Linked DNA regions of Sus scrofa. The protein of the gene in region 1 interacts with the protein of each later gene in a pairwise test. Links are inferred from orthologs where the notes say so. Each region holds a gene or a part of one and is shown in the gene's direction. Other genes may lie near its edges.

Region 1 (4,231 bases):
TACGGGTTGTCAACAGCGACACCGTGTGGCTATAAGATGCAATGACAATGGCCGCCAGACCTTCGCCTTAGGTATGTGGCAGCTGGATTTTCCCCTGAGAATTTTTGGGTCACTTAACCAGCTATGAATTTTTGAAAATTTTGGGCAGGGGCCCTATTTGTAGATGATGAATTTATTAAAGTGATAAATAGAGGATTTAGTTGATTTCTTTTTGTGGGAAAAAAGATCAGTGATCATATTTGTGCACTGTGGAGACTTTTTTTTTTAAACCCAGTTTTGTAAATAGTTTTTACTGGTTTACTATATAACACATATATAGTTTTTACATATATATAAAACAAATTATGCATGAAAGCTGTGTTTGAAGATACCCAAATTAAACCCTTTCCATTTTATATTCCATTTGAAAATTGATCTATGTTTCCCCATCATCTCCAAGATAAAGTCCCAGCTCTTCAGCACATTTGCTAAGACCTTCCTCTTATTCTCCAATATGCAACACACTCCTTAGCTTCCTTAAGAAGCCCATTATATTTGCCAATGTTTTGGGAGCTAGGCTTTTGGGGAGGGCAGATATGACCTGTACCAAGGAGCTCAGGTTTAATTACAGAAAAAAAAAAAAGTGAGATTTACTGAGCACTTGTGAGCTAGGCATTGTAATAAAGTGGTTTGGAGTTATTAATTTGCACATGAGGTTTCTCCAAATACCTTCTCCTATCTGTATTACTGGGGAAATAATTCCAAATCATTCTTATGCATATTTCTAGGTTTGTAGTTTTCTGCCTTGGAAATCACCTATTGAAGCTGGGGTTCCGCCCTGCAGATTCTGATTTAATTTGTTTTGGGCTTGAGCATCATTTTCGAAGCTCCTCAGGTGATTCTAATATACAGCTGGGGTGAAGACTTTAGCGACGGATGTAAATAATCTTTCTTTCCCTTCCGTGCCCTGCATACCTTTCCTGATCATGTCTTATCACATTGCACCTTCTTTTCAGGGTGTATATCTAGCTCCCTAACTAGCCTCTGAATATCCCCAGTCAGCCACTTTTGCATTTCTGGAACGCGATTTATGGCCTGACATTTGGCGGAAATTTGGCAAATGCTGAATGGGAAGGTAAAATGTCCTCAAGACATACTTATTTCCGTGTGTGTGTGTGTGTGTGTGTGTGTGTGTGTGTGTGTGTGTGTACGCACGCGCTCGCGCGCCGACCGCCTCAAATGTGGATTTCTGAAGTTTTCCTGGCAAATGAGGACCCAGGTAAGCGAACAGCAGTTGCGAGGAGAAGGGGTCCAGCAGCTGTGGAGCACAGACGGCAAAGCCGCAACAGCAAACTATCGCTCACTTTAATGGTAAGCCCCGCCCCCAGCAGCAGAGCCAACCAGAGGGCACGGAGCAATCCCAGCCTTCCTGGGCGGTCTGAGAAAGTCGCTAGGGCTTTCAGAGCCGGAGCAGAATCGGGCTCGTCGATGAGCTCGGGCTCGATTGGCTGGCCTCCCACGGTGGAGTAACGGTCGTAGAGGCGGGGCGGGAGGCGGCTGAGCCGGCCGGGCTGGGCGAGCTGCTGTAGAGAGGCGGCAGCTGAGGAAGGTAAGCGGCCTTCGGGGTTCACAGAGGCTTTGCCTGGAGCCCCTGCTTGAGCTTCCACCGGAAATGGTCTCGTCTGCGCAATGCGAGTGGTCATACTGACCCTTACTGGGGTCCCCAGAGAGGAGCTGCCTGGGACGGGTTGGCGCCAGTTAAAAATCCCTGGATAAGGAGTTTGGGGGCGGGTGGGGGGAACCTGATCGACCTGGTCCTAGTCCTGGCTCCTCGCCCCTTGTGATCTTTGGCTCCTCATTTAACATCTCAGCGCATCAGTTTCTTCAGTTGTAGACGACAGCTGGTAAATCTTTCCTTACAAGGTGGTTGAGAAGGTTAATTGAGGTAGTGAGTGTGAAGCTTGGACGGATACCTGGCGCAGCCTGGATTCTGGATAGTTGTTGGTAGTTACTCCGTCCCCATGCGCTGGCCGGGGGGTCTCGCCCCACGTTTCAGAATCTAGGTGCCTGGGAAGGTAACTTGGCGAGTGAAGGCTCGTAGCAGAAGGTGGGGGATACACAAAGGGGTAGGTGAGTAATCCCTTCTCTGGTTTAAGTAATCTTTGCAGAGTTGGAGAGTCTCTTTATGTGGAATCTAATATGATTTTATTAAGAAAATCAGTGAGATGGAAATGTTGAAATGTAGAAGGGTTTCTGTACCACTTTATTTTCTATACATAATAATGGTAAAGACTGTGCGGGCATTACCTCTTTTGGCCTCAATCTTCTTCTGCATGAGGTTTTGTTTTGTTTTTACTTTTGGTATTGTCAAGTAGACCCGGGCCTTCCCCACCTCACCTTGGGAAAAAGGTGGCTGGCTGGCTAGGGTTTTGCCCGCAGCTTCTGCTTAGTGGCCTATTCTAACCTTTTATGTAACCTCTCCTGGGGCAGGATGATTTAATCGAGGTAAGATCCGATCCTAATTCTGTTTCCTTAGATTCGCTTCTTAGGAACGTTAAACAGTGTATTGGTATATTTTTGGGATGGCGCTTTTGCATTTAACAGACAATAGAGACTTTGAAAGCATTGCACATTCCATTTATTGCAGTAAAGTGAAATATGTGCTTTTGAGAAAGCTAATTACAGGTTTTGAGGTGACTCAAAAAAGAACAGCTACCAGCCATGCTTTATTCCCAGCTTGTCCCCAAAAAAGTAGTGAAAAGCAACTACATTTTAATGTATGGGGCATGAGCCAGGGGCTCCAAACCTATAAGGGGTAAGTTACCAAAGGGCTCTTGGGAAACCTAGACAGTGCAAACAGAACTATGTTTGGCTTCTCTGTGCTTGGTTTTCTGTGGTGTGTATGAACCAACTCCTACCCCGCAACTCCTTTTCCCACAGTTTTACTTTAGGTATCTTATGACACTGCTTAAAGCAAGCCACACCATCTGCTTTGGTCCTGGGAAGCACTGGGTCTCTTCTGGTGACTCACAGACCTGTGTCCTGGCATAGCCCGTAGTGGGGAAAATGCTGCTGCAAACTATCTGTAACATTAATTTCACAGCATAGACCTCTGAAAAGAAGGGCTTTGTCACAGGTGAAATTGATAGTTGTTCTCCTTGTCTTTGTGTTTCAGTACCAGTTGTCTGAGAGTACCCTTGCCAATGAGAATATTGTTTGAATACCTTTGAAGTCAGAATCAGATTTGATGCTAGATGATAATAGAGTTGGGCTCTCAGGTATATGTTTCAACAAAACAAAGAAAGACAAGGGGAGAGAAGGCAAGGGTGAAGGCACGTGGTGGTGAGCACTGGAGTCCATTAGCAGTTGATTCAGTAGATGCAGCTCCCTGTAGTCAGTCATTAACACCAAGAATACCTGCTCTGAGGATAACACAAATCATTCTTAATAGGAGATGAATGTTTAAGATGTGGGCCTGTTTATCTTTTTGAAACCTAGATGAAGATGCAGTTTCAGACGTGAGGCTCACTGGGTGATCATTTCATTCTGATCAACTTGAATGACCAGGTGAAAAGTGTAAGAGGAACGTGCTATGACTGAGGTATGTCTGACGCAATAAATAACTCCCTCTGGATGTTGAGAGGCTGTGGAAAGGATCTACTAATTATGGAATACTATGTATTTATTTCCTTTTGACCTCTTCATAATCCTATCAGATATTTTAAACCCAATCAAGGAAACTGAAGAGGTTAAGTAACTATTTAAGATAGTACAAGTAGCTGGTCACCAACTCTGATCACCACCTGTCTTGCTGTGTGCCAGGCACTGTTCCTTTTGCTTTTATTGTTATTTAACAAAATGTTTTTATTAAAAAATGACTTTTTATTATGAAATCAAACAGAAAAGAACACATATACCAAATGTATAGCTTAATGAATTATTAAAATCTGATACCACCCAGGGTAGGGTGGAGAACTATGCTAGCTAGCCATGCCAAGAATTTGCTTATCCCAATCACAACTGCTTTTGTCCTCTCATTAGTAGCTATTTTTCTGACTTTTATACTAGTCGCCTCCTTGTGTTAGTTTTTTCATAAATCCATATTCTTTGACACTATAATGTAGTCTTGCTCACTAAAATTTTTAAAAAATCTCTTGTAGATTGTTTCCCTATTCCTTTCTTTTCCTTATAATTTATCTAATGAAGAACTTGGTCATTTGACCTATATGTCCTATAGTCTGGATTTTGCAGA
Region 2 (4,195 bases), on another chromosome or scaffold:
TGCAGTGGGCAAGCAGGTTCCCCATTTAACAGCGGAAATCAGAGCTGCATCCACCGGTGCGCAGCCTTTGAGAGAACGGCTTTCAAAAGAACAGCAAACACCGCTGCCTTCTCAGGAAGAGAAGGCAAAAGAAGAAAGCAAAGATGCATACCCCAAGGAGAAGCCTGGGTTCAGAGTGACCCCCCTCCCACAATGTGGGGGGCCCTGGAGAGCCTCTGTTTCCTCCTTGCTGGGAAGAGGGCATCATCGCATTTATTTCATGAACAGCATTTAGTGGGACGGTGTGACCTGCACGTACCAGACACCCAGCCAATACCCAGGAGCCTGTTTTTAGAAGCCCCCCTGACCTAGGGACCCCTCACCCACCCTCATGCCTTCGGAAGCCTTTGGCACTTCTTTACAGAAAAACAGAGGGTCTGCGCTCCTGTTCCCCCACCTTAGATGCTCGGTTTGGGACTTGGGACATATTTGAAGCATCAGAATCACATGCCTTGGTTGTACAGTGCCTGCCATCAAGTGGGAGCTTAATAAGTTGCTGTTCATTAATGTACAAGTATAAATTACATAAACAAATAGTATTATGCATAAACTGTATACAAAATGTAGTTTATATAAAAACTCAGTATCTACCAAACACGTTCCATATAACACATAAAATATACTGATAGGAGTTCCTGCTGTGGTGCAGTGGGTTAAGGATCCAGCATTGCTGCAGCTGTGGTGTGGATTCAAACTCTGGCCTGGGGAACTTCCTTTTGCCATGGGTGCCGCGGAAAAAAGATAAAAAAATATTATATGTTTACACGTAAATTTTCAACACCATTTAACATTTACTTTAAAATAATAAACATATAAAATGTATTACGGAATGTATAAAAATAACATAATACCTAGTCTTATTTCCAAATATTAAGATAAGCATTACGAAAAAGTAAATATTAAACTGTAAAAAATGTAAAATGCAAAACTACTATACATTCACGTGAATAGTATATACTGAATGCAATTACACGTGTAACGGTGTTATACAACTCAATACCTATAATAAGTAAATAAGTGCGTACCTAGCTTATAATTAAATTATATTGGCATATGATGTGGGATGCATAATTGTATTAACAATTGAGGCCCAAACACCCGGCCTCGGCCCTAAGCCGGACCGCTTCGCCTTCCGACCCCAGGGAGACCTTCGCGGGACCAGAACTCAGGCAGCGAGGTGGGGGCAGGGCGGGCTTGCGCACGCGCAGTGCAAAGCCCGGGGTCGGCGAGGCCCGCTCACCGCGGCCCCGGAAGTCCCGCCTCTGTGGGCGGGGACAGGGCCGGGAGGAGAAACCCGAAGCCGCCGCGCGGCCGCATCCGCGGGCTCGGGCGCCGGAAGCGGAAATGCGTCACAGGGGCGGGCGGCGGCGGCAGCGGGTCGCGTCGGGGGCGCCTCCGGCGGACGGGGAAGGCGCCGCGCGGGGAGGCCGTGCCTGCCGGGGTCCTCGGGGACCCGCGGAGAGCTGGGGCCAGGGCGGCGGCGGCCTGGGACGCAGGCGGAGCCCCGCGCCGGTGAGCGCCGCCCGCAGCCGCCCCCTCCCGCGAGCCGGGCCGGGCGGGGGCGAGGGTCTCGGGGGCGGGGCCGGAGGCCGGTGTCTCGAGGGCCGGAGTCCGCTGGGGGTCTCGGGGAGGGCGCCCGGGGCCAGGGGACCCGGGGGTCGGGGGTGGGGAGCCTCATGACGGCGACCCGGGGGCCGGAGTACCGAGGGCCGGAGTCTGCGGGCGACCCGGGGCTGGATTATTGAGGGCCCGGGTCTGAGGAGCCGGGGACGGGCTGCCGGGGGGACGGGGGACCGAGGGCCAAGGTCTGCGGGAGGCTCGCGGGCGAGGACACCGAGGCTGGGAGAGGAGCCAGAGGCGGCGGGGGGCGATGGGCGTTCTCGGGAAACCACGGGTACTCAGGGACTGGGGGCCGCGTCAGAGGGGGGGCGACGTGCGGACGCTGGGGGCACCGAGGTTAATGGGGCTGTCGGGGGTGGGTGCCGTGGTGACAGGAGGCAGCGGGGGAGAGGGTCGCGGGGGCTGGGGGTGGAGGTAATGAGAACCGTACAGGGGGGCAGCGAGGGGCTGGGGGTCATGCTCAGGGCCCAGGGGCAGCCAGTGAGCAGCGTTCCCAGGAGGCAGCGGGGGTTGCCCCCTGTCCGGCCCTCCCTGTAGCCCTTGGGGTCTTGTGAGGCAGGGGACGCTCGTCTCAGGTTCCAGCCCTTCGCAGTGCCCCGGCCGGCCCCAGGTGGCTCTTCCTCCAGCTGCTCTTCCCCTCCCCTCCCCTCCCAGGGGGCCTCTGAGAGCTAACTGGTGGGCGGGCGGATGCCAGGTGACCACCTGTGCTGTTTGGTTCCCGTGGGTCAGGCTCGCCACTGGTGCCTGGCTTTCTGGAAGGAGCCACTGGTCAGACCAGTTGGGCAGAGCCTGGGGAGGAAGGTGTGAGGGGGGGAGGGTGCAGGCGACTCCCACCCCCGGCCGGGCACAGCGAGGGCGCGTCTGCCCACAGTGGGGAGACTGAAGTCGATGGCTGTCGGCTGTTTTTCTCTAGTCTGAAACTTCCTTCCTGTTTCTTCTTCAGTGGAAACACAAGGCCACCCCCCGCCGCACAGCCTCCCAGATGCCTGTTCTGGGCCGTCCCTTCCCCAGCGGTGGAAGTGGTGGGTGGAGTTGGCCTGCCCCCCATACACCGAGGGCGGGGACCCCGCTGCGCAGCCCTTTGATTGAAAGCACCAACATCTCAGGGCCTGCGGCCTCACCGGCCAGCCTGGGGACCCTCGTCCCGGTGCCCAGCTCTGACCGCGCGCGCATGTGTGTGTGTGTGTGTGTTTCAGGCCCAAGGTCCCGGCTATGGCCGCGGCCACCATCGTCCACGACACGTCTGAGGCGGTGGAGCTGTGCCCAACCTACGGCCTGTACCTGAAGCCCATCACCAAGATGACCATCAGCGTGGCGCTGCCGCAGCTGAAGCAGCCGGGCAAGTCCATCTCCAACTGGGAGGTGATGGAGCGGCTGAAGGGCATGGTGCACAACCACCAGTTCTCCACGCTGCGCATCTCCAAGAGCACCATGGACTTCATCCGCTTCGAGGGCGAGGTGGAGAACAAGAGCCTGGTCAAGGCCTTCCTGGCCTGCCTGGACGGCAAGACCATCAAGCTCAGCGGCTTCTCCGACATCCTCAAGGTGCGCGCGGCCGAGTTCAAGATCGACTTCCCCACCCGCCACGACTGGGACTCCTTCTTCCGAGACGCCAAGGACATGAACGAGACGCTGCCCGGGGAGCGGCCCGACACCATCCACCTGGAGGGGCTGCCCTGCAAGTGGTTCGCGCTGAAGGAGTCGGGCTCCGAGAAGCCCAGCGAGGAGGTGCTGGTCAGGGTGTTCGAGCGCTTCGGGGAGATCCGCAACGTGGACATCCCCATGCTGGACCCCTACCGCGAGGAGATGACGGGCCGCAACTTCCACACCTTCAGCTTCGGGGGCCACCTGAACTTCGAGGCCTACGTGCAGTACCGCGAGTACGTGGGCTTCATCCAGGCCATGAGCGCCCTGCGCGGCATGAAGCTCATGTACAAGGGCGAGGACGGCAAGGCCGTGGCCTGCAACATCAAGGTGAGCCGCCCGGGCCCGCGCGGCGGGGGGCGGGGGGGCGGTGTTGGAGCCCTGCGGCCGCCCGGGCCGTGGAGCCTCGGGCACCGACATTGAAAAGCGGCCCCCGGCTTTCTTTTATAAAACCCGTGCCTCGGAGTTCCCGTTGTGGCTCAGCGGGTTAAGGACCTGACTAGCACCGGGGGGCTTTGGGTTCGATCCCTGGCCACGCTCCGTGGGTTAAGGATCCGACATTGCCACGAGCTGCGGTGTGGGTCGCAGGTTCAGCTCAGATCCGGTGTCGCTGTGGTGTAGACCTGCAGTTGCGGCTCTGATGCCTCCCCTCGCTGGGAACTTCCACGTGCCGATGGTGTGGCCTGAAAAGAAAAGAAAACGATTCTGTGTTTCGAGAGAGTTGGGGAGCTGATTGTTCCACGGGGGCGAGGGGGTGACCGCTGCGCATGCTCGGAAAGGAGCCCCGGCCGGGCCGGCTGCACGGCCTGCCTCCCTCCCAGACGTCCCTTGAAACGAGACCCTGGCTTCTCTGACCATCAGCCAAGTGGGGACTGACTCGTGCTGGCTTTGC
Region 3 (3,500 bases), on another chromosome or scaffold:
TACCCTCGATGTTACAGGGATGGGTAATTTCATTTCTAGGATTTGGTACTTGACTCCAGAGCCCATTTTTTTTTTTTTTTTTTTTTTTTTTGTCTTGTCTTTTCTAGGCCCGCTCCCATGGCATATGGAGCTTCCCAGGCTAGGGGTCGAATCGGAGCTATAGCCGCCAGCCTACACCAGAGCCACAGCAATGCCAGATCTGAGCCTCATCTGCCACCTACACCACATCTCGCGGCAACACTGGATTCTTAACCCACTGAGTGAGGCCAGGGATCGAACCCGAAACCTCATGGTTCCTAGTCGGATTCGTTAACCACTGAGCCACGGCGGGAACACCCCACATTTTTTTTTAAACCCACATGTCATTACATTGCCTCTCAGTTCCTTTTTTTTTTTTTTAATTCTAAGAAATTTAAACTTGGCTTGAATTCTCTTGCAAAGTACCACAGGGTATCATTCATCTCATACAACCAATTCTCTTAAAATCCCCTTTCATTACATACTTTTCCTCTGTAGCTCAACGATTGTCCCATTCCCCACCCCCCATTCTCTTTTCCCTCTCTCAGTTCTTCCTCAACCAGGACCAGCCCATCTCCCCCTTTAACCTTTATTGTAAGGATACTGAGTTTGGTTGTGCAGGTTGTTTACTGTCCAAGCTGACGTATCTGTCGACAGCTGTAGTCTAGGCCAAGCTCTGCTTTCCATGCTGTATGTGGCTGCAGAGACCCACATGGGCTCATGGCAGCCCTGGCCTGCAGCTCATGGCTTCCTTGTCCCTCCCCAGTTATGCCTTCTCAGGACTCTGACCTTCTCCAGAAGGAATGGGAGAAAATGACCAAATTTCAGGTAAGTAAGGCATAACTCTCTGTCTCTTAATTGCTTTATGCGGGGAAGCGGGGGAAGGGGTGCTTACGGCATATGGAAGTTCCCGGGCCGGGGCCACATCAGAACTGTAGCTACCAGCCTATGTCACAGCCAAGTAATGGCAGATCCTTAACCCACTGAGCAAGGCCTGGGAGCAAACCCACATCCGCATGGATACTGTTCGGGTTCATAACCTGCTGAGCCACAAGAGGAAGTTCCCTAAGTTGGGATTTTATTTCTCAAATAGGCACATCTTTTTTCTCTTCGTTGGAAAGGTTAATGGAACACAACACATCTTGGGTGCATGTTGTGTACCAGACTTGGTGTGTGAGTGTTTTACCATCTTTGTGATTTCACAAAGCAATCTTTAAAAAAATTGTAGAGGAGTTCCCATGGTGGCACAGCAGTAACAAACCCGACTAGTATTCAAGAGGATGCAGGTTCGATCCCTGTTCTTGCTCAGTGGGTTAAGGATCCAGTGTTGCCATAAGGTGTGGTGTAGATCAAAGATGCAGCTCGGATCTGGTGTTGCTGTGGCCATGCTGACGTTGCTCTGATTCGACCCCTAGCCTGGGAACTTCTACCTGCTGAGGGTGCAGCCCTAAAAAGACAAAAAAAAAAAAAAGGATACTCCTGGTAGCTCAGCAGGTTAAGATCCAGCATTGTTGCTGCTATGGCTTGGGTTCCTGCAGTGACACAGGTTCTATCCCTGGCCTGGGGGAAAAAAAATGCTCAGGCATGGCCAAAAAAAAAATGAATAGGAATGTCACAAAAAAAGGGAAGTAAGTTTACGAAGTCAATAATGATCATCAATAACTAAATGTGGAGAGTTGCCTGGTGGCACAGTAGGTTAAGGTTCTGGGATTGTCACTGCTGTGGCTCAAGTCACTACTGTGTGTCCAGGAACTTCCACATGCCGTGGGCACAGCCAAAAAAAAACTTTAAAAAACCCTAAAACTAAATGTGTGCAAATATGAATAAAAGCTTTCTGTTTATTCTGCTTAGATTGTTGAAGAATTTTTTGTTTGCCTTTTTAAGTTTTATTGAAGTATAGTTGATTTACAACATTGTGATAATTTCTACTGTAAAACAAAGTGATTCAGTGGTATATATACACATACCCATTCTATTTCAGATTCTTTTCTCACATAGGTTATCACAGAATTTTGGGTAGAGTTCTCTGTGCTATACAACAGGTCCCTGTTGGCCAAACATTCCATATACCTCAGTGTGAATATGCCAGTCCCAAACCCCCAATCTGTCTCTCCCACCCTGAAGTTTTTTTGTTTGTTTGTTTCTTTTTTTTTGTCTGTGCCTGTGGCATGCAGAAGTTTCTGGGCCAGGGATCAAACCATAGCCACAGCAGTGATGATGCCAGATCCTTAACCTGCTGTGACACCAGAGAACTCCAGAGATTAGGAATTGTGTCCTATTTGGCCAGTCTAGAGATTCAAGAACATCTGTACCCTCTCACATGAAAGGTGAACTGGAAAAACCTTTTGAGAGGGCAATCTGCCTTTCAGAAATTTTACAGTGCATGCTTTATGACTTTGCAATTGCTGTAACTTGGCTAAGCTCTCTGTAAAAGGATCTTTGCAGCTTTGATTATAAGCGAAAATCTGTAGCTAATTGTGCTTTATTTGGATTGATTAACACTAAACATCAATCCTAGGGAATACTGTACTAGGGTAGTCACAGTTGGAGTGAAAGAGATTCTGATGACACTACTTGTTCCCATTCCCGAGCACTTGTCATGAGCCAGGAGCCCTTGTGAGTGGTTTACAGACATTCACTCATCTAATCCTTTTGCGCTCTTTTGTGACACCATTATACAGAAGAGGAGATTGAGATAATGAGAGGTGAAGGAATCTGGCCAAGGGCCTGTAATTAAAACCTTGAAATTTGAACTCGGCCTGTGCCTTCACCGTCTCCACGCGCATGCGGCAGTGGGTGGACAAGGCTCTGCCTTAAAAGTGCAGAGGAGGAGCTATGTGCCTGTCCTGTAGCAATGCTGAAAGCCTGTAAACTTAGCAAACAATAAACAGTGACGCAGTGGGGAGGCAGGGAGGCAACGTCACTGTCACTGAGAGGGACAATGGTTGGGACTGAAAACTCCTGGGAGTCTCTCCAAATTGATAACCGATTTTGGGGTAATTTTTATCCTTCTCGATGCTGCCCTTCTTCCAGTGGAGGTTGTCAGATTTAGGTTACTGTGTGTGGTGTTGTAGGAGGCAGTGACCTTCAAGGACGTGGCCGTGACCTTCACCGAGGAGGAGCTGGGGCTGCTGGACTCCACCCAGAGGAAGCTGTACCGGGACGTAATGCTGGAGAACTTCCGGAACCTGCTCTCAGTAGGTGAGGACGGGTGCCCTCTGACCTGAACCTCAACCCCGTCCCCCCCCACCCCCAAGAGTCCCTGGTGCTCTGTTGTTGAAAGCTTTGAATCTTTTCAAATGGTTCCCTGACCCTTGGAGCTGCAAGTTTTTCTAATCCGCAGGTTTTTCTTGTCCCTCCCTGCTAAGGCAGAATTCTCTCCAGGGGTGATTTTGCCTCCTTGGGGACATTTGGCAATGTCTGGAGACACTTTGGATGGTCACAGCTGGGGAGGGGTGCTCCTGGCAGCTAGTGGCTGGTGA
Region 4 (4,196 bases), on another chromosome or scaffold:
TCTTTGGGCCGCTCTCGCGGCATATGGAGGTTCCCAGGCTAGGGGTCGAATCAGAGCTGTAGCCACTGGCCTATGCCAGGGCCACATAAACGAGGGATCCGAGCTGCGTCTGCAACCTACACCACAGCTCACAGCAACGCCAGATCGTTAACCCACTGAGCAAGGGCAGGGACCGAACCCGCAACCTCATGGTTCCTAGTCGGATTCGTTAACCACTGCACCACGAACCATTTTTAAGTGTGCAGTTCAGTAATGTTAAGAGCATATTCAGAGTTCCCGTCATGGCACAGTGGAAATGAATCCGACTAGGAACCATGAGGTTGCAGGTTCGATCCCTGGCCTCGCTCAGTGGGTTAAGGATCCGGCGTGGCTGTGGCTGTGGCGTAGGCTGGCAGCAACAGCTCCGATTTGACCTAGGCTGGGAACCTCCATATGCCATGGGTGAGGCCAGACAAAAGACAAAATAAAGCATATTCATGGAGTTCCTGTTGTGGCTCAGTGGGTTAAGAGTCCAACTAGTGTCGATGAGGATGTGGGTTCGATCCCTGGCTTCTTTCAGCAGGTTAAGGATCTGATGTTGCCACAAGCTACAGTATAGGTCACAGACATGGCTAGGATCTGGCATTGCTGTATCTGTGGTGTAGGCCTGCAGCTGTAGCTCTGATTCAGTCCCTAGCCTGGGAACTTCCATATGCTGCAGGGTGGCCCTAAAAAACAAACAAAAAGATTTTTTTTTCATTTTTAAGGCTGAATAACACTCCACTATACGTAGAGACCACATTTTATTTAGCCATTCATTTGTCCATGGACACTTGGGTTCTTCTGTCCCTTGGCTGTGGTGAATAATGTTGCTTTGAACATGAGTGTCTTTGAGACCCTACTTCCAGTTCTTTTGGGTATATACTCAGAAGTGGAATTGTTAGGTGCTATGGTCATTCTCTTTGATTTTTTGGTTGGCCCTCCATGCTGTTTTCCTAGCGGTCACACCATTTTACATTCCCACCAACAGAGCACAGTATTTTGTATGCTCTTGGCCCTTTTTGGTCTAATGTAGAACATCCATGGTACTTGGCCCTCATCTAACTTCTCAGCCCCATCTGGGTTCCTAGAGCCACAATCAGACAGTGCCTGGTTGCTGAGCTCCTTTGATGGGGTGGGGAGCTGAGGTCTGTGGAGGGGAGATGACCTGCCCTTGACCAGCCCCTCCCCACCCCGCCCTGCCCCGCCCACCTCACTCTTTGCCCCATGGGATTCCCTGGCTTTCCCCTTGAGCTCCTGGGCCATGAGCACCAGGAAAGGAGAAGCACCTGGTTCAGGGGTGGTGCTCCCTGGGTTCCCCCACCCCCTTGTCCACACGTTCATCCACCAATGCTGTGCTTTCTGCCCACCCAGGTCCAACGGGCGCTCCTCCAAGCGGAGCCTTGGAGGGCAAGGCCGGCACCATTACCTCCAACGAGTGGAGCTCTCCCAACTCCCCCGAGGGGAGCAACGTCTCTGGGGGCAGCCAGGCTTTGGACAAGCCCATTGACAATGACGCAGAGGGCGTGTGGAGCCCCGACATCGAGCAGAGCTTCCAGGAGGCCCTGGCCATCTACCCGCCCTGCGGTCGGCGCAAGATCATCCTATCGGATGAGGGCAAGATGTACGGTAAGGAGGCTGTCAGTGTTGGGCAGCAGGCCCGCCAGCTCATGGTCCAGCCCCAGGAACAGCCTGGGCACAGCAACCCGGTTCCCTCCAAGTGATGGAAAGAGGTGACCTCTTGGGGCTTGTCCTGGCAGACGCTGCTTTACTCTGTCCTAGGCTCCCAAGGGCTGGGAGGCATCAGGGGAGACACCTTTGGGTGGCTGTGAGGATGGAACTTGGGAAAGCCTAGAACATCCCCCCGGGGCAGGCTGGGAAAATCCCTTTAGCCACCCCCCAGGCAGATGCCTGATCTCCCAGCTTCCCACTGTGGCTGTGAAGGCCTTTAGGAAGGCGGTCCTGGTTCACTCCCTCATTCATACCTGGGCCTTTGGTGTGCCAGGCAGGGGCGGGGCAGATCTAGTCCCTTCTCATGGTACGTGGGGGTGGGCATACAGGTAACTGTACACAAGGCGTTGAGAGTGTCCCGGGGTTGGGGGGGGGTGAGGACCACCCCCCTGCAGGAGTGTGCCCCTTAGCTGAGAGCCATCAGGGAAGGCGTGGTCTGGGGCTCCACACGCCCTCTGCGTCATTGTCAATGCAGGACACAGAGGCACTTTGTCCCGCAGACCCTGGGAAGGAACGAGCCGTCTGCCTGGGCTGTGTTGACTTTGGGATGGAAGAGAGGGTATCTGGGAAGCAAAATGAACACGGAACAACTTTTAGAGGCTCCGTTCAGGCTTCCATTGCCATTGGAAAGTTCCCTGGGACCCCCAGCCTGAAACACTGGGACTGGGTAGGAGCTGTGGGGATCTCTGACTGGCTGAAGCCCCTGTCCACAGAGGGTCTTGCCCTGCTTCCCATGAGATGGCTCTGGGCCAGTGCCCACCCCCACGTGGGTGCCCCTCCCCCAGCACAGATGCCTCATCAGCTGACTGATCTCAGCTCCTAGGGCTGCTGTAAAAAACCACCTCGAATTTCAGGGCTGCCTTAAGATGACAGACATGTATCCTCTCCCGAGTCAGAAGGTTGAAGGTCTGAACTCAGGGTGCTGGGGGTTGGCTCCCCTTGGAAGCTCTGCCGGAGGATCTGATCTGTGCCCCCTCCCAGCTTCTGGGGGCAGCTGGAGGCCCTTGGTGTCCTTGGCTTGTAGCTGTAGCACTTTGGTCTCAGACTCTGTTGTCACATGGCCGTCCTGTCTGTCTGTCTTTGTGTGTCCTCCTCTTCTAAGATACCAGTCGTTGGATATAAGGCCCCCCTTAATCCAGTGTGCCCTCATCTTAGCTAGTTAATTCTGTAAAGACCCTGTTTCCTGGAGTTCCCTGCTGGCCTAGTGGTTAAGGATCCAGTGTTGTCACTGAAGCAGCTTGGGTCACTGCTGTAGTGTGGCTTTGATCCCTGGCCCAGGAACTTCCAGATGCCATGGGCAAGGCCAAAAAAAAAAAGATCATTTCCAGATACGATTACATTCTGAGGTTCTGGATGGATGTGAATGTTGGGGGCGGCGGGCGCTGTTCCACTCTGTTCAATTAACTAAACTCAAATCTGCTTTGTGACTGGTCTAGGGAGCCAGCCCCACCTGCTTGTCTTTAATCTGCACCTGCCCTGCAAGGGCAGGGATTCCTTCTCCTGCTGGAGGAAGCAAGGTCCTTTCGAGCTAGACCCCAGCTCTGCTCCTCGGTTACCTGTTACAGCTGCTCATCCGACTTTACCAGCCCCTCCGCTGAGGCTCTGCGGGGCCCCCACTTCTGCGGGTCTCCACGCCCTGGTTTGGGCTCCCCTGGCACCTTGCTCTAACCACGTCCTGCTCCAGTGGTTGCTTCTTACTTTGGGTCCCCATGGAAGCTTCACGGAAGAGGCAGCCGCTGTGCGCAGAGCAGCTGTGGGTGCCAGGGGTGGGACCTGCTTTAGGTAGGCTCTTCCCGTGGAGCTGGGTGGCCTGGGCTCTTCCACGGCTTGATGGAGAGTGGGGTGCGTGTTGGTCATGAGCTGAGGTGTGACGGTGACGTCGTGGCGGGGGTGTGGCTGGAGAAATCAGGGTCCCTTGATGGGGCAGTGGTCAGTGCCCAGGCGCCTAGCAGGATTGATCTTCCTGCTTTAAAAGGACACATGGCCTGGCAAATACAATTGTGTTCGAGGCGCTCGGTGTGGGGAGAACGCTGAGGGTGCTGCCTGTTGGGGAGGCCCCGGTGGTGGCAGGTCTGGAGAGCCAGCAGACAGTCCTCGCGTGCCACAGTGGGACCCACTGTTTCTTTGTTACCCATTCTTAAGTGTACAGCTCAGTGGCATTAAGTACGTTCACATTGTGGTTGAGCAGCCATCCCCACTGCCCGTCTCTAGAACTTTCTCATTCCCTCCAACTGAAACTCTGTCCCCGCTCAGCACTGGCCCCTAGGTCCCTCTCCCGCAGTCCCTGGTACCCGCCATCCAGTCTACCGCTTTGGCTAGAGCTCCTCCAGGGCCCTCATATACATGGAATCACACAGTATTTGTCCTTTTGTGCTGGCTTTTTCACCTGACATCATGTCCTCAGGGTTCCTCCGTGTCATTTCAGGTGTCAGGATGTCCTTCCTTTT
Region 5 (4,123 bases), on another chromosome or scaffold:
ATAAAAGCTGGAGGAGAGAGGGCTGGAGAAAAGGGAGGTCGAGGTGTGCTGCCAGGAGGATTACAGGGAGCGGGTAGAGGCTTATGGGGGGATGGGTGAGCCTCTGGGCACACTCCCATTCTCATCAAAATGCTACCAATCTGAGTGTAAACTGGAACCACCTTTCTGGGGGGTAACTTGTAAGTGTATATTAAAAGACTTTAAAACCTTGACCCAATAATTCCATTCTTGTAACTTACTATAAGAAAAAATTTAAACTGCACAAATATTTGGCCATAAGAATATTCATCCAGCATTTGTCACAGCCAAAACCCAAACATAACAACGACAACAACAAAACTATAAGCAACCTAACTGTACATTAATAAGGGGTTGGTTAAGCTATAATATGTAATATTTTCTAAGTATTACAAATGCCGTAAATGAACTTTATGTCAGAAAGACATTTTTGCTAAATTTTGTGAAAAAGATAAGCTACAGAATTGTTTGTACAATATGTGTGTCAACTTAGCTTTAAAAAAGAAAAAACAATAACACAAAGTATACATTTGCAAAGACAACCAACCGGCGGAAAGAATATTCTCCAAGGCCTTATCAGTCATCTCCGGACAAAGACAATGGGTGGGCTTTCTTTCCTTATTTTTACAACTGCTTTTTTTTTTAATTTTTGTCTTTATGTCTTTTCTAGGGCCGCTCCTGCGGCATATGGAGGTTCCCAGGCTAGGGGTCGAATCGGAGCTGTAGTAGCCCGCCTACGCCAGAGCCACCACAGCAACGTGGGATCGAGCCGGGTCTGCGACCTACACCACAGCTCACCGCAACGCCGGATCTTTAACCCACTAAGCAAGCCAGGGATCGAACATACAACCTCATGGTTCCTAGTCGGATTCGTTAGCCACTGAGCCACGACCAGAACTCCCTATAACTGCTTTTGTAATTAACTTTTTTTAAAGGTTACTTTTTAAGTGGTCCTACCCAGTCTTTATTACAATGACACCTTCTTTCTCAAACGTTCCCGAATCCTCTCCAAAGAGGAAGAACCAACGTCTTCGAAAAATCGCAACACTTGCCCCCCTACCCAGCTTGGGGTTTTAATTTTGTTCCGCCTCATCCTCTAGTCCCTTGTCCTTCCTCTCTTTGTCCCTCCAAGCCTGGGGAACCCTTCATCGGAATCCTGTGTCTCTCTTGTCTGTCCCTGCCCTACCACCTGGATGGGACCCCGCGGGGCCGGCCGGATTATTGTAAAACTTCAACCAGACCTGGCCCGACTTCTCGGAGTCGGTGGAATCGAAATCCAAAGGTCTGTACGGCGGAGACAAAGGGACAGGCCAGGAAGCTGGCTCCAAGGGAAGACTACAGACCTCCCTCCCGGGGGTACATCCCGCGCGGTCCCCTCGCGGGTCGCACCCCAGGCAGCAGAACCCCGCCCAGCTCGCGGCGGCAGAGGGCGCGTAATGACATCATCCCGGAGAAAACGCCGAGACTGCGCCACGAAGTTTGTCCCTTTGGAGGCGCCGTCCAGGTCCGCGTCCTGCTCGCATCATGTGACTGACCAAGCGGAGCCGGAGACCAGTTTCCTAGGAGAAGACCCACCGTGGGTGGTGCGCCCGGCGGACGGCGGCGGGATGGAAGCAACCTTGGAGCAGCACTTGGAGGACACGTAAGTAATGTGGCCACGTCGGCCTGTCCTGGGTTCGCGGCGGGCCTGTCCTTGAGCGCAACAGAAGGCGCGAGCTGTGACTGCCCGCTGGGCTTCTTGGGGACGTTCTCTCCCCGGGCCGCCGATGGGAGTGGAGGGTAACCCGGAATTAAATCCCGCCGGTGCTCCGCACACTCCCTCCGGAACAAGTGTCCCGGGTCCGAGCCCAAATCCCGCCTGTCGTGTAGAAATTGTTTGGGCGGGGCCGTTCTTTAGGAGTTTTAGGAACCGAGTTCATTTGGGGGAAGGAGGTACCTACCACCTGTATCTTCAGTGTAAACGTAAACACACACGCGTACCTCCTTCTGGTGTAACCAGTTATTTGGTGCTCAAGAAGATGAAAGACATCCTTTAAATTTTTCGAACAGATAGTGTCTACGTAAAATCCAAAATTAGAAAAGTTTAAGACGGCGTACAGGGAGACACCTCCCTTGCATCAGGGCCGCTCAGCTTCCCACTTCCTCTCCATGGGGCAACCAGTTTTAGTTAGCTTTTCAGCAGTTCTTTCAAGTGAGAGAGTAGGCTAAAATACATATTTTTAACGAGGGCAACAAAATCCTAGCTATTGCAACGTTTGTAGCCCTCCAAAGCTTAGCAGTACCTGGCAGTCTTTTCTCTCATCAGAGAGAAATTAGTTTAACCATCATTAAAGTTAGCTTATTATGATTTAATGTAATTTTTCTTGGAGTAGGGATGAGGGATAAAGAAAAAAGACTAACACTGATTTAAAGCACTTAACAGCAGTGCTGGGTACATAGAAAGCCTGTGTGTGTTATATTTAAATCCATTTTTCCTACATCATTTGCTTCTTTCTTCCTGTGTCCCTGGAATTAGAATGAAGAATCCATCCATTGTTGGAGTCCTGTGCACAGATTCACAAGGACTCAATCTGGGATGTAAGTATCTGACAACAGCCCTTCCAGGGATTGCACAGCACTTGATGTTGACTGGGAGCCTAGGGTGCTTTCTCTAGTTTGCATTTCCTGCCACCCTGCCACTTTTGGGGGACTTTTCTGTAAATAGAGATCATCTCCCAATAGCAAAATTAGAAAACTGAATGTTTTCAGTTGATACTTATAAAGGTGGAGATGTCCCTTGCAGTTCTAGCACTACATAGTTGTTTCTTCTAGAATAGTATTTGAATCATTCTAAACAGAGTCTAGAAAGGACTTCAGATAATGACAGCAGTTACCATTTATTGAATGTATTTTGGGACTGCTAAATTTCCCCAGTAACCCTGCCAGATGGATGGTGTTATTTTTTAGTTCAACTTCACTGAACAGTAAGTAGGCAGTAAAAATGAGGGGTGCAAGCTCAGACACACCTAGGTTCAACCCCCAGCCCTCCCCTGTACTACTAGTGTGAACCTGGACCAAAAAGAACCTTTCCGAATTTCAGTTTCTGTAGTGGGTTGTTGTTTGATAATAATTATTATTATGGAATTGCACTTACTGAGCTCTATGTGCCAGGCACCATTATAAGCACTTTCCACATATCAAGTCATTTAATCCTTGTAACAATCCTATGAGGTAGATAAAGAAATTGAGGCACAGAGGTTGAGTAACTGGACCAGGGTCATACAACTAGTAAGTGATTGAGCTAGGATTTGAGTCTGGCCCCAAAGCCTCTACATCACAATAATATAGGATCATATAAAATATGTAAAACACTCAGCACAGAACCCAGACATGATGCTCAACAGATAGTAACAAATTGCAGATGAGGAAAGAAATCCAGAAAGGTAAACAATGGGAGGCTTCAGCTAATTAATGTCAGAACTAGTAAACCCAGGACACCCTGCTCACTACTCTTCTGTTCTGCAAGATTTTTTTAAAGCTCTGAATTTTTGCAGGGAGGGTAATTGAAAGAATTAGTCTGTGTAACTCAGGTTTTATACACAAATCAGTTAGTTGGAAGAAAAGGGAGATTTTTTTTTTTTTTTTTTTGAGGTGCTTGCCAGGTTTACAGATGGAAAGGTTGAGATTCAAGTATGGAAATCTAAAACTAAATTAATTTCTTTAAGAAACTTTCAAGGTCCCACAGATGAACCTACCTACAAAACAGAAACAGACTCACAGACATAAAGAACAGACTTGTGGTTGCCAAGGGGGAGGAGGGAGGGAGTGGGATGGACTGGGAGTTTGGGGTTAGTAGATGCAAACTATTACATGTAGAATGGAGAAACCATGAGGTCCTACTGTATACCCCAGGGAACTATATCCAATCTCTTAGGATAGACCATGATGGAAGATAATATAAGAAAAGAAATGTGTGTGTGTGCGGTCACTTTGCTGTACAGCAGAAATTGGCATGACATTGTAAATCAATTACTGTTTAATAAAAATATATATAAATTTATTTTTTTATTGCTCAAATGAATTTATCACATCTGTAGTTGTATAATGATCATAACAATCCAATTTC
Region 6 (4,107 bases), on another chromosome or scaffold:
CTGGTTATAGAAGATGCAGCGTCGCACCAACCTTAGCTCTACAGGAACCACTCGGCCAAAGAGGAGCCTCCTCCAGAGCCCCGCTGCCCTCCCCGAGGCGACCTCCCCTAAGTCGCTGAGCTGCCAATGCGGTGTTGAATTCCACCATTGCAAATTCCGCAATTCCACCCACAAGCGTCTGCCTCTGGAATTCTGCTTCTAATTCAGGCCTTATCTATTGATTTAGCCTCAGGAGGACGAGGCGCTTCTCTCACCCACTTCTTCACCTTTCACCTCTCCCCTCCCCACAGAAACTCGTAAAAGCTGTCCAGGGTCAAGATGCCACAGGACAGTGGTACACCGCTGAGTCAGGTCAAATACGTCTCTGGTTATTTTTTATTTTCCCGGGAGTTAACGATTCCCTTATTTCGTAGTTATTGTTGCAGATGGCCAGGGCGGCCCAAGCAGCTCAGCTCACAGGATTTGCAGGATCAAGCAAGAGCCTGTGGGGAAGAACGGAGGCGTGGCAGGAACCCAGGTGATGGCGAAGATGGCAAGGCTGGAACTTTAGGGCAACGTGATAAAGATTAGCCGCGTTACTGCTTATGCTCTGGTGTTCCTGCCCCTACAAGGGGTGTGTTCTTCCCTGAGGTGAGCCGGGCATGAAACGAGCGTGTTCCAGAGTCATCATACCTGGAGAAGTCAGGAAAGGACCCGGACGCTGGGGCAAACCCACCAGGAGAGCAGGGCACGGAAAGAGTCCAATTCTGGAAGCAGGCCAGCTCTGCAGGCAGGCTGGTCCCGGAGGCAAGTCAGTTCTAGAAGCGGGCTGTGAAAGTAAGATGATTCGGGAAGCAGATTGTACTGGCGAGTTCTGCAGCAGGTTCTTGGGGTGGGTTTTGGACGTTCTGAAGGGTGGGCTCCAGAGGCGGGTTCCAGGGGCAGGTTCTGGAAGCAGGATCTAGAGGCATGGCAATGGAGCGCCGACCGCTGTTAGCACTGTGGCCAGGCCGAAGCCTGGGTCCCGACGCAGAGAGAAAAGCGGACATCGAGACCTGCACGGGCGCTTGTTCCAGCAAAACTGTTAACCACCCCTTGGCGAATCTTTACGAGCGGCGCCCCGAGGCCCCGCCGCTGGGCGGGTGAAACCCGCGTTGCCCAGGGCCCTGCGCCGCGCCTTGTTTTTCCCTTTTCCGCCGCCGGCGGTTGCCAGGGGCGACCGCATCCCCCTCCACCCCCCGCCTCCGGGCTCCTCGGGCGCAGGCGGGCGGGGTCTGGCCGCGAAGCCACCTCCCTCGGGCTCTGGTTGGCCGAAGCTTCCGTCTGTCAGAGTCGCTGCCGCCGCCGATTGGACAAGTTTCGCACGCCCGGCGGCTAGCGCCCCGCCTCTCCACCCGGCCTGGCGGCCACCGGGAGAAGAGTACAGTGCGGGATCCCGCGCGCCGGGGGTCCCTGCGCCGGGATCGGCTTCCAGGTGGGCGTGGCCCGAGCAGCGGGCGGCGATGGTCCCCGAGGAGAGGCCAGATGGCCAGGCCGCTGGCGAGGAGAGCACTCAGCTGCAGGCGGCTGGCAGCTCCCGCAAGGTGGGCGCGCCCGGGGGCAGGGGGCGCCGGGAGGAGGGGTCCCAGACCCAGCCGGCTCCTGTGGCTGTCTGCCACCGGCGGGGCTGTGGAGCCCACGCTGGCTTTTCCCGTCTGAGCGCACCGCTAGTGTCGGGGGCGGGGGCGGACCCACCCGGTCCCCGAGAATCTCACTCGCCCCTAGAGGCAAGGTGGTCTTACTGCTGGGGAACCCAGGGCTCCATGCGGAGCCAGAGCCGGGTTGGCTGGCTGGCTGCCTGTGCTCCTCTCTCTCCCTCCTGTTTGGGGACACACACCCCCACCTCCGCCCTGCGCTTACCAGAAACCGGTGGGAGCGCCAGCCCAGCTTGTGGTTTTCTCCAATGCTCCAGGAACCGCTTCTGTGGCAGCGATTGGGCTTGGGTCCGTTGCAGCCCGTGGCCCTCATGTTTGCTCCTCGTGCCTGGCACTCGTTTCCTAGCTTTGCTCTCTTCCCTAGGGCCATTCAACTTTGCCCCGGGGCACTCATCTCTTGATGAAAGGCCTAGAGACAGGCGGCTGAAGCTTCCTGGGTATAGGAAGTGGCTGGAGGACTTCCCATCTGGGTGTTTGTCTCTCCTCACCCGCACCTCTGCCTCCTTCTGAAGTCTGATCGCTGGGGGGGTTGGGGGGGTTGGAGACCTTTGGAGTCTGTGTTCGGGAAAGAGGAGGCACCCTGGCTGTCTCACTCTGCAGCCCGGAGCCCGGTTCTCCCCTGGGGGTCACCGTGAGGCTGCCCCAGTGCTTATTCCAGGCTTTGGGCATCCATATCCACGAGGGGTTTCAGTCCCATGCCACCTGCCTGGTGGGGGCATGCGGCCTGGCCCTGCCCACCGTCCTGCAGGTTTGTTCCTAGACCCGTGCTGGCATAGCTATCCCCACACTTTGCCAGCTCTGGCCACTGCCCATGGCATTTTTCTCCTGGGGATTCTGGGGGATCCACTAGACCCTCACCCGTCGGGGCCACAGCAGTGAGGGTGTGTTGGGGTCGCTGCCTTATCAGAGGTGGGGGTTCTGCCATAAGTGGGCGAGCTGGCAGATCCCTTTACCACTTGTGAGAGTGGCTCTCAGCCCGCCCAGGTTACACAACCAGCCTGCTGCCAGCAGGGAGAGTTAGGGTGGCAAGGCTTTGAGGGGTGCTGGCCGCAGAGCTCCCTGGAGACCCCGCGGTCTCCGGCCTCCAACACTTCTCTCCAGGAGTCCTTGACACAGGAGACCAAATGAACTGTGTCGAGTGCGGCCCTGCTCCCCAGGCGGATGGCCATGCTGTCCTCCACAGCCCTGAGAACCTGCTGGAGCTCTGCAGTGGGACCTTGGGAGGGAGAGGGGTGTGGCTTCGGCGGGGCCTGCCCCTGCCTCTGAGTCTCAGGCCTCCTGGCAGGGGGTGACTGCTCACACCCTGGGCTCATCCCTCCTGAGCCCGGAGTGGGCACAGGAGGCACCACAGAGAAGGGCCTGTGGGAAGACAGCCAGCCAGCAGGGCGGAGCGGGGAGGGGGAGGCTGTGTTGTCTTGTCCCTTCTTGGTGCCATCGGGACACCAGCCCTCGTCCACCTCCAGATGAGGGCCTGCCCGGGGCTCCAGAGGGGGAGTCCTCCTGGCTGATTGCTCTCTATCCCGTTGGTCAGTGGGGTGCAGGTTCTCTCCTCAACACCTAGGACCGCTTGGAAGCCTTCTGTCTTTCAAGTCCCAGAAGAATGCCTCCTCCTGTAGGAAGTCCTCCTTGACTGACCTCTCCGGAGAATGCTGGTGTCTGGAGATGTTGGGCTGTTGTCCAAGGTGGCCGTGCACCAGGAGCCTTGTTTAGAGTGCCCCCCGCGTGGGGCCGGGACAGGCTGGAGTCCCCACGGGGTCTGAAACGGCCGTGTGTGTGTGTGTGTGTGTGACCACAGGGCACGCTTCCTCTGAAAGATCGCTCTTCGTGAGCACCTTGGCTGTCACCCCCCCACCTAAACACGTGTGGCCTGGAGTAACTGCGAGGGCGAGATGGGTCGTGGGGGTCACGCCAGGAATTCGCAAGTGCTGGAGGACGTGTGCTGGGCGGGCGGTCGGCTGTCTCCTGGTGGGGGCTCCAGGCTGGGCTGCTGAGTCCCAGAGCCCCAGCAGATGTGCCCAACTTCTTCCTGGGGCCCCGTCCTTCCAGGCCCGGCCCCCATGACTGCGGCCTCTCTGCAGGGCTGTGATCAGCTGGCGCAGATGCAGCGGGACCCCCTGCAGAGCCGCAGGGCCCGGATCCACCAGCAGATCAACAAAGAGCTACGGATGCGGACAGGGGCCGAGAACCTGTACAGGTGCGTGCTGGCTGCCTGGGGTACCAGCTGCCACCCCTGCCCCACAGGAGAGCGGTGCCGCGTTCCCAGAGGCCCCTGCGAGCCAGGCCCACCCTGCGTAAAGGAGGCAGGGCAGTGACCCCGGTGGCTGCCTGTTCTCGGTCCACATGTGAGTCCGTGACTGTGGCTTCCCAGGAGGCAGGGCTGGCTCTCCCACTAGGGGCTGGGGCAGCCAGCTCCCACCTTGGGGGGCCTCACTGG
Region 7 (3,500 bases), on another chromosome or scaffold:
AAGGTTAAGTGAATTGCCTGAGGCAAGGCAAGTTGTGAGGGTTACAGTTGTGACTCCGACCCAGGCAGTCTGACTGCAGAGCCAGCTCTTGTACCTGACCATCGTGCTACACAGTGAGAGCCTGGGTTGGGGCACTGCAGAGGTGACTTATGCTGGTGCTCACTAAGCTCCTATTGCATATTGTTCTGACTCTTAAATGATCTCGTTTCTCCCCCCTTTCACCTCGCACACTATAGGTTTTATCTCAATAGATGTGTAGAATCTGTCACACATTCAGTTGTCCATTGGCAGGGAGTCTTGGAAAATGAAAGGATTTTAAAGAGACTTATTATAGAGGCTCGGCAGGTTAGGGATCTGGCGTTGTCACTGCTGTGGTTCAGGTTCGATCTCTGGTCCTGAGTGTCCTCATGCTGCAGACACAGCTCCCCTCCTCCCACCCAAAAAAGGGGGGGCGCTTATCCTGATAGAAGATATTCTCTAATTTCTAGGACTTGGTGAGACTTCACTTTTTTTTTTAACCTGCCAGCACTCATGTGTCTGGCAAATGTAAACTTAGGCCTGGATCGTTTAAAATTTTTACTTATTTAATGCATACAAATTTTGTATATAGCACTATGCTGACCCTTAAGGCTCTTACTGACAAATTTCTTCAAAAGAATCTGGATTTATTTAATAGCAAGAAGAGGGACAGACCAGATAGTTAATAAGAGAAGCTACAAGACACTGGAGAAATGGCAGGGGAAGGGAGGGATGGGGGCATATGTGGTAGTGCTTCAGCAAAAGCCACAAAAGCTGATGGATGCATCCGAATCACCTCTGTGTGCCGCTGCCACCCCCCTGCCCCTTATTTGGAAGCCCTGAATATTCTGATTTGATAGTTAGAAAGGAGGGGACCCTGGAAGGTTTTTTGTGTGTGTTTTGTTGTTGTTGTTTTAATTTATTCTTCCTCTTGCTTCTGATGTGTAGCTAGGTTTGGGCACCACTTTGCATTCTCATCACCTGCCTTCCACCTGTGGCTCTAAACAGGAGAAAGTAGTTAGTTACGTTAGACCAAATGAGTACCTGGTGGAACTGGGGCATCTAAGTGTGGGGTGGAGGCTGGAGCCTGTTGAACCTCACAACCCACACCTGTCTCTTTGCCTTGAAGGTACTAAGAGCAGGCCCAAGAAGATTCAGGGAAAATACATAGCTGTTTCTGCCAGCAGTTTCACATTCATTCTCGACCAAAATATAGGGAAAGTGTCTCTTGAGGCTTCCTTAAGGTACACTTCCTATAGTGGGACGCATGTGTTCAGCAGAGATGAGGCAGTGGCAAAGGCCTTGGGGTATGAGGTCACTGAGCTTCAGCTGCAGAACTCAGCCAGGCAAGACATCAGCCGTTTTGGTTAACCAGTTACCTTAAATTTGTGCAGTCAGCATCAGTCTGTTCTTGCTGATAGAGGAAGAAACTGAGGTGGAAAAGACATTGTTTTAACCTGAAATCATAGGTGACAGCAACTAAAATCCTGGCTCAGGAAAGCCTGCCTTTCAGCATTCTCTGAGAAGGCCCTGCAGTGATAGGATGGACCAGTCATGGATGCCCCTCCAGGAACAGGGAGTAGACAGCTTAGTTGTGGGGAACAGCCTCTTTCTCATCTTCCCTCACTAACCCCTTGCCTCTGGGCTGATCCCTGTTGGTGGTTTGGGTTTGAATACAGCCTCTTAGGTGTTCACAGCTGTACTGTTGCCATGGCAGCATGTTTGTCATCCCCACTATTTCCCTCTGGCCCCTCTCAGCTCAATTGTCAGTCCCTATTGTAGGGCAGGGTGTTTGCTATCAAGGCACAAGGCCGCTCATGGACTTGTCCCTCCATCTAAGAAACCATGCCCTTCGGCTCCTTGCTTTATTCCTCCTGATCTCCCAGCTGCTGCAGATGCCCACCTCCTCCTCTGATACTGGCTGGATCTTCGTTAGTCTTCTTTCCTGAGTTTGATCTTAACTTCCTACAGGGACGAATCTCCTTTCTCTAGGAGTGTGAGCTGTATAGCCCGGTCCTCTTCATCCATTCCCTCCACTCATCTCCATTGATATAGTTAGAAAGCTCCCAGCTCTTTCCCCAAGAATAATAGCCAGGAAGAGGAAATCACGTAATAAGGGCTGGGTACAGATTCAGCTGAAGAGTTCAGACCCACGAGAAGGAGGTGCTTTCATGACAACCAAGGTTAGATGATCCATTGAGCTGGGCCTGTCCTTTGGGCGTCTTTCAGGATAAGGGAATTCTTTTTAACCTCAAGAGTCACCACGAGGCTTCAGCATTGCTTTTAGGGGCCATCATGGGTCTACATCATGGACAGGAATGAAGGGGGAACAGAAAGGATTTAGTCGGGGAGGGAGTAAAAAGGCGTGTGTGGAGGAGCAGAAATGGAGCAGCTGCCTGGAGGAGGAGGGTGGCCAGTAAGACTGGGGCAGGAGCTGCTCCTCAGGACCACCTGGTATTTTTCCTGAGCACTTTGCTGTGGGGGATCATCTCCTAGGGATTCTGCCGTGGTCGTCCCTACTGGGGTTATTGCGATCCTGTTTGGAATCTCACACGTATGATTTGATGTTTGTGGAACTGTTCCTCCCTTTTAAACGTAACCTTTGTCTTCACAGCAGCCAGTGAGGAGGAGAAGGGGCGAGAGCTCATTCGATATTAACAACATCGTCATCCCAATGTCTGTGGCTGCAACGACCCGTGTAGAGAAGCTGCAGTACAAGGAGATCCTGACTCCCAGGTAGGGGTCCTGGATGATCAGCTCTTCCCCTGGTCTTCCTCTTAGTACCTCTTCCTCTCTTCTTGTCGCTGAGCTTGGGGCCCTCACCTTGGCTTCTGTCTTCTCCTTGAGAGAAGGTCCACCTGATTAGAGTGAAATTATTTCTGTAGATAATTCTCTCCCATTATATGAGCACCAGCCAGACCTCAGGCCACAAACTGGCTATGGTCATGTTTTGTTTGACATATACAAGTGTCTTTTAAAATACGGAATTTGTCGTCAGCATCAAAGCAAGGTTTCACATATGAGTCTTTATTTCCAGCTTTTGTTGTCAGATTCAAAGATTGGGCAGCCCTGTATGTGCATTCCCCTATGGGAGCATCAGCTGGACCCCTCAGCTTCCCAGCTCTCATCTCACCCTCGGCCTGCTGCCCCTGTTCGTGGGCATTTGAGTGTGGAGCCTCTTGTAGAGGCCTCCAGGGCTGAGAAGGCCCAGCATAGAGGGGTGTCACTTGCAGGCGGAGGGCTCTCACTCTTACACAAATGTATCCTGCCCCAAACTGCCTGCCACCTCACGGTTGTCCCTTTCTGGTTTTTGCAGCTGGCGGGAGGTCGATCTTCGGTCTCTGAAGGGGAGTCCTGATGAGGAGAACGAGGAGGTAAGGGTGTGGTCCTTCCCTCTGGGAGGAGCACACACTGCAGATGCCTCAGGACCTGTGGCATCAAGTGCAAGCTCACTGTATTCCTGCTGTGACCAGGAAGAGCCT

The links.
Region 2: the proteins of CEP70 (region 1) and AKAP17A interact in binary tests that used the Homo sapiens proteins (3 or more experiments, as listed by UniProt). The two-hybrid records come from large-scale screens. The link is inferred for Sus scrofa from reciprocal best matches to the Homo sapiens genes CEP70 and AKAP17A.
Region 3: the proteins of CEP70 (region 1) and zinc finger protein 227 interact in binary tests that used the Homo sapiens proteins (3 or more experiments, as listed by UniProt). The two-hybrid records come from large-scale screens. The link is inferred for Sus scrofa from reciprocal best matches to the Homo sapiens genes CEP70 and ZNF227.
Region 4: the proteins of CEP70 (region 1) and TEAD4 interact in a two-hybrid assay, tested with the Homo sapiens proteins (2 studies listed by BioGRID). The two-hybrid records come from large-scale screens. The link is inferred for Sus scrofa from reciprocal best matches to the Homo sapiens genes CEP70 and TEAD4.
Region 5: the proteins of CEP70 (region 1) and LAMTOR5 interact in binary tests that used the Homo sapiens proteins (3 or more experiments, as listed by UniProt). The two-hybrid records come from large-scale screens. The link is inferred for Sus scrofa from reciprocal best matches to the Homo sapiens genes CEP70 and LAMTOR5.
Region 6: the proteins of CEP70 (region 1) and RHPN1 interact in binary tests that used the Homo sapiens proteins (3 or more experiments, as listed by UniProt). The two-hybrid records come from large-scale screens. The link is inferred for Sus scrofa from reciprocal best matches to the Homo sapiens genes CEP70 and RHPN1.
Region 7: the proteins of CEP70 (region 1) and KANSL1 interact in binary tests that used the Homo sapiens proteins (3 or more experiments, as listed by UniProt). The two-hybrid records come from large-scale screens. The link is inferred for Sus scrofa from reciprocal best matches to the Homo sapiens genes CEP70 and KANSL1.

What each region holds. Positions count from the first base shown.
Region 1 is NC_010455.5:79,384,141-79,388,371, reverse strand, and holds the start of CEP70 (centrosomal protein of 70 kDa), read left to right. Parts: upstream 1-1,431; 5' UTR 1,432-1,588; intron 1,589-3,477; 5' UTR 3,478-3,571; coding exon 3,572-3,580; intron 3,581-4,231.
Region 2 is NW_018084901.1:894,902-899,096, forward strand, and holds the start of AKAP17A (A-kinase anchor protein 17A), read left to right. Parts: upstream 1-1,395; 5' UTR 1,396-1,551; intron 1,552-2,855; 5' UTR 2,856-2,871; coding exon 2,872-3,633; intron 3,634-4,195. UniProt on the Homo sapiens protein: Splice factor regulating alternative splice site selection for certain mRNA precursors. Mediates regulation of pre-mRNA splicing in a PKA-dependent manner.
Region 3 is NC_010448.4:50,822,356-50,825,855, forward strand, and holds part of zinc finger protein 227, read left to right. Parts: intron 1-784; 5' UTR 785-786; coding exon 787-846; intron 847-3,051; exon of another isoform or gene 3,052-3,092; coding exon 3,093-3,219; intron 3,220-3,500. UniProt on the Homo sapiens protein: May be involved in transcriptional regulation.
Region 4 is NC_010447.5:67,164,780-67,168,975, reverse strand, and holds the start of TEAD4 (transcriptional enhancer factor TEF-3), read left to right. Parts: upstream 1-1,396; 5' UTR 1,397-1,421; coding exon 1,422-1,647; intron 1,648-4,196. UniProt on the Homo sapiens protein: Transcription factor which plays a key role in the Hippo signaling pathway, a pathway involved in organ size control and tumor suppression by restricting proliferation and promoting apoptosis.
Region 5 is NC_010446.5:109,721,341-109,725,463, forward strand, and holds the start of LAMTOR5 (ragulator complex protein LAMTOR5), read left to right. Parts: upstream 1-1,323; 5' UTR 1,324-1,454; coding exon 1,455-1,660; intron 1,661-2,533; coding exon 2,534-2,595; intron 2,596-4,123. UniProt on the Homo sapiens protein: As part of the Ragulator complex it is involved in amino acid sensing and activation of mTORC1, a signaling complex promoting cell growth in response to growth factors, energy levels, and amino acids.
Region 6 is NC_010446.5:1,130,231-1,134,337, reverse strand, and holds the start of RHPN1 (rhophilin-1), read left to right. Parts: upstream 1-1,307; 5' UTR 1,308-1,481; coding exon 1,482-1,562; intron 1,563-3,751; coding exon 3,752-3,867; intron 3,868-4,107. UniProt on the Homo sapiens protein: Has no enzymatic activity. May serve as a target for Rho, and interact with some cytoskeletal component upon Rho binding or relay a Rho signal to other molecules.
Region 7 is NC_010454.4:17,090,112-17,093,611, forward strand, and holds part of KANSL1 (KAT8 regulatory NSL complex subunit 1), read left to right. Parts: intron 1-2,632; coding exon 2,633-2,754; intron 2,755-3,334; coding exon 3,335-3,392; intron 3,393-3,500. UniProt on the Homo sapiens protein: Non-catalytic component of the NSL histone acetyltransferase complex, a multiprotein complex that mediates histone H4 acetylation at 'Lys-5'- and 'Lys-8' (H4K5ac and H4K8ac) at transcription start sites and promotes transcription initiation.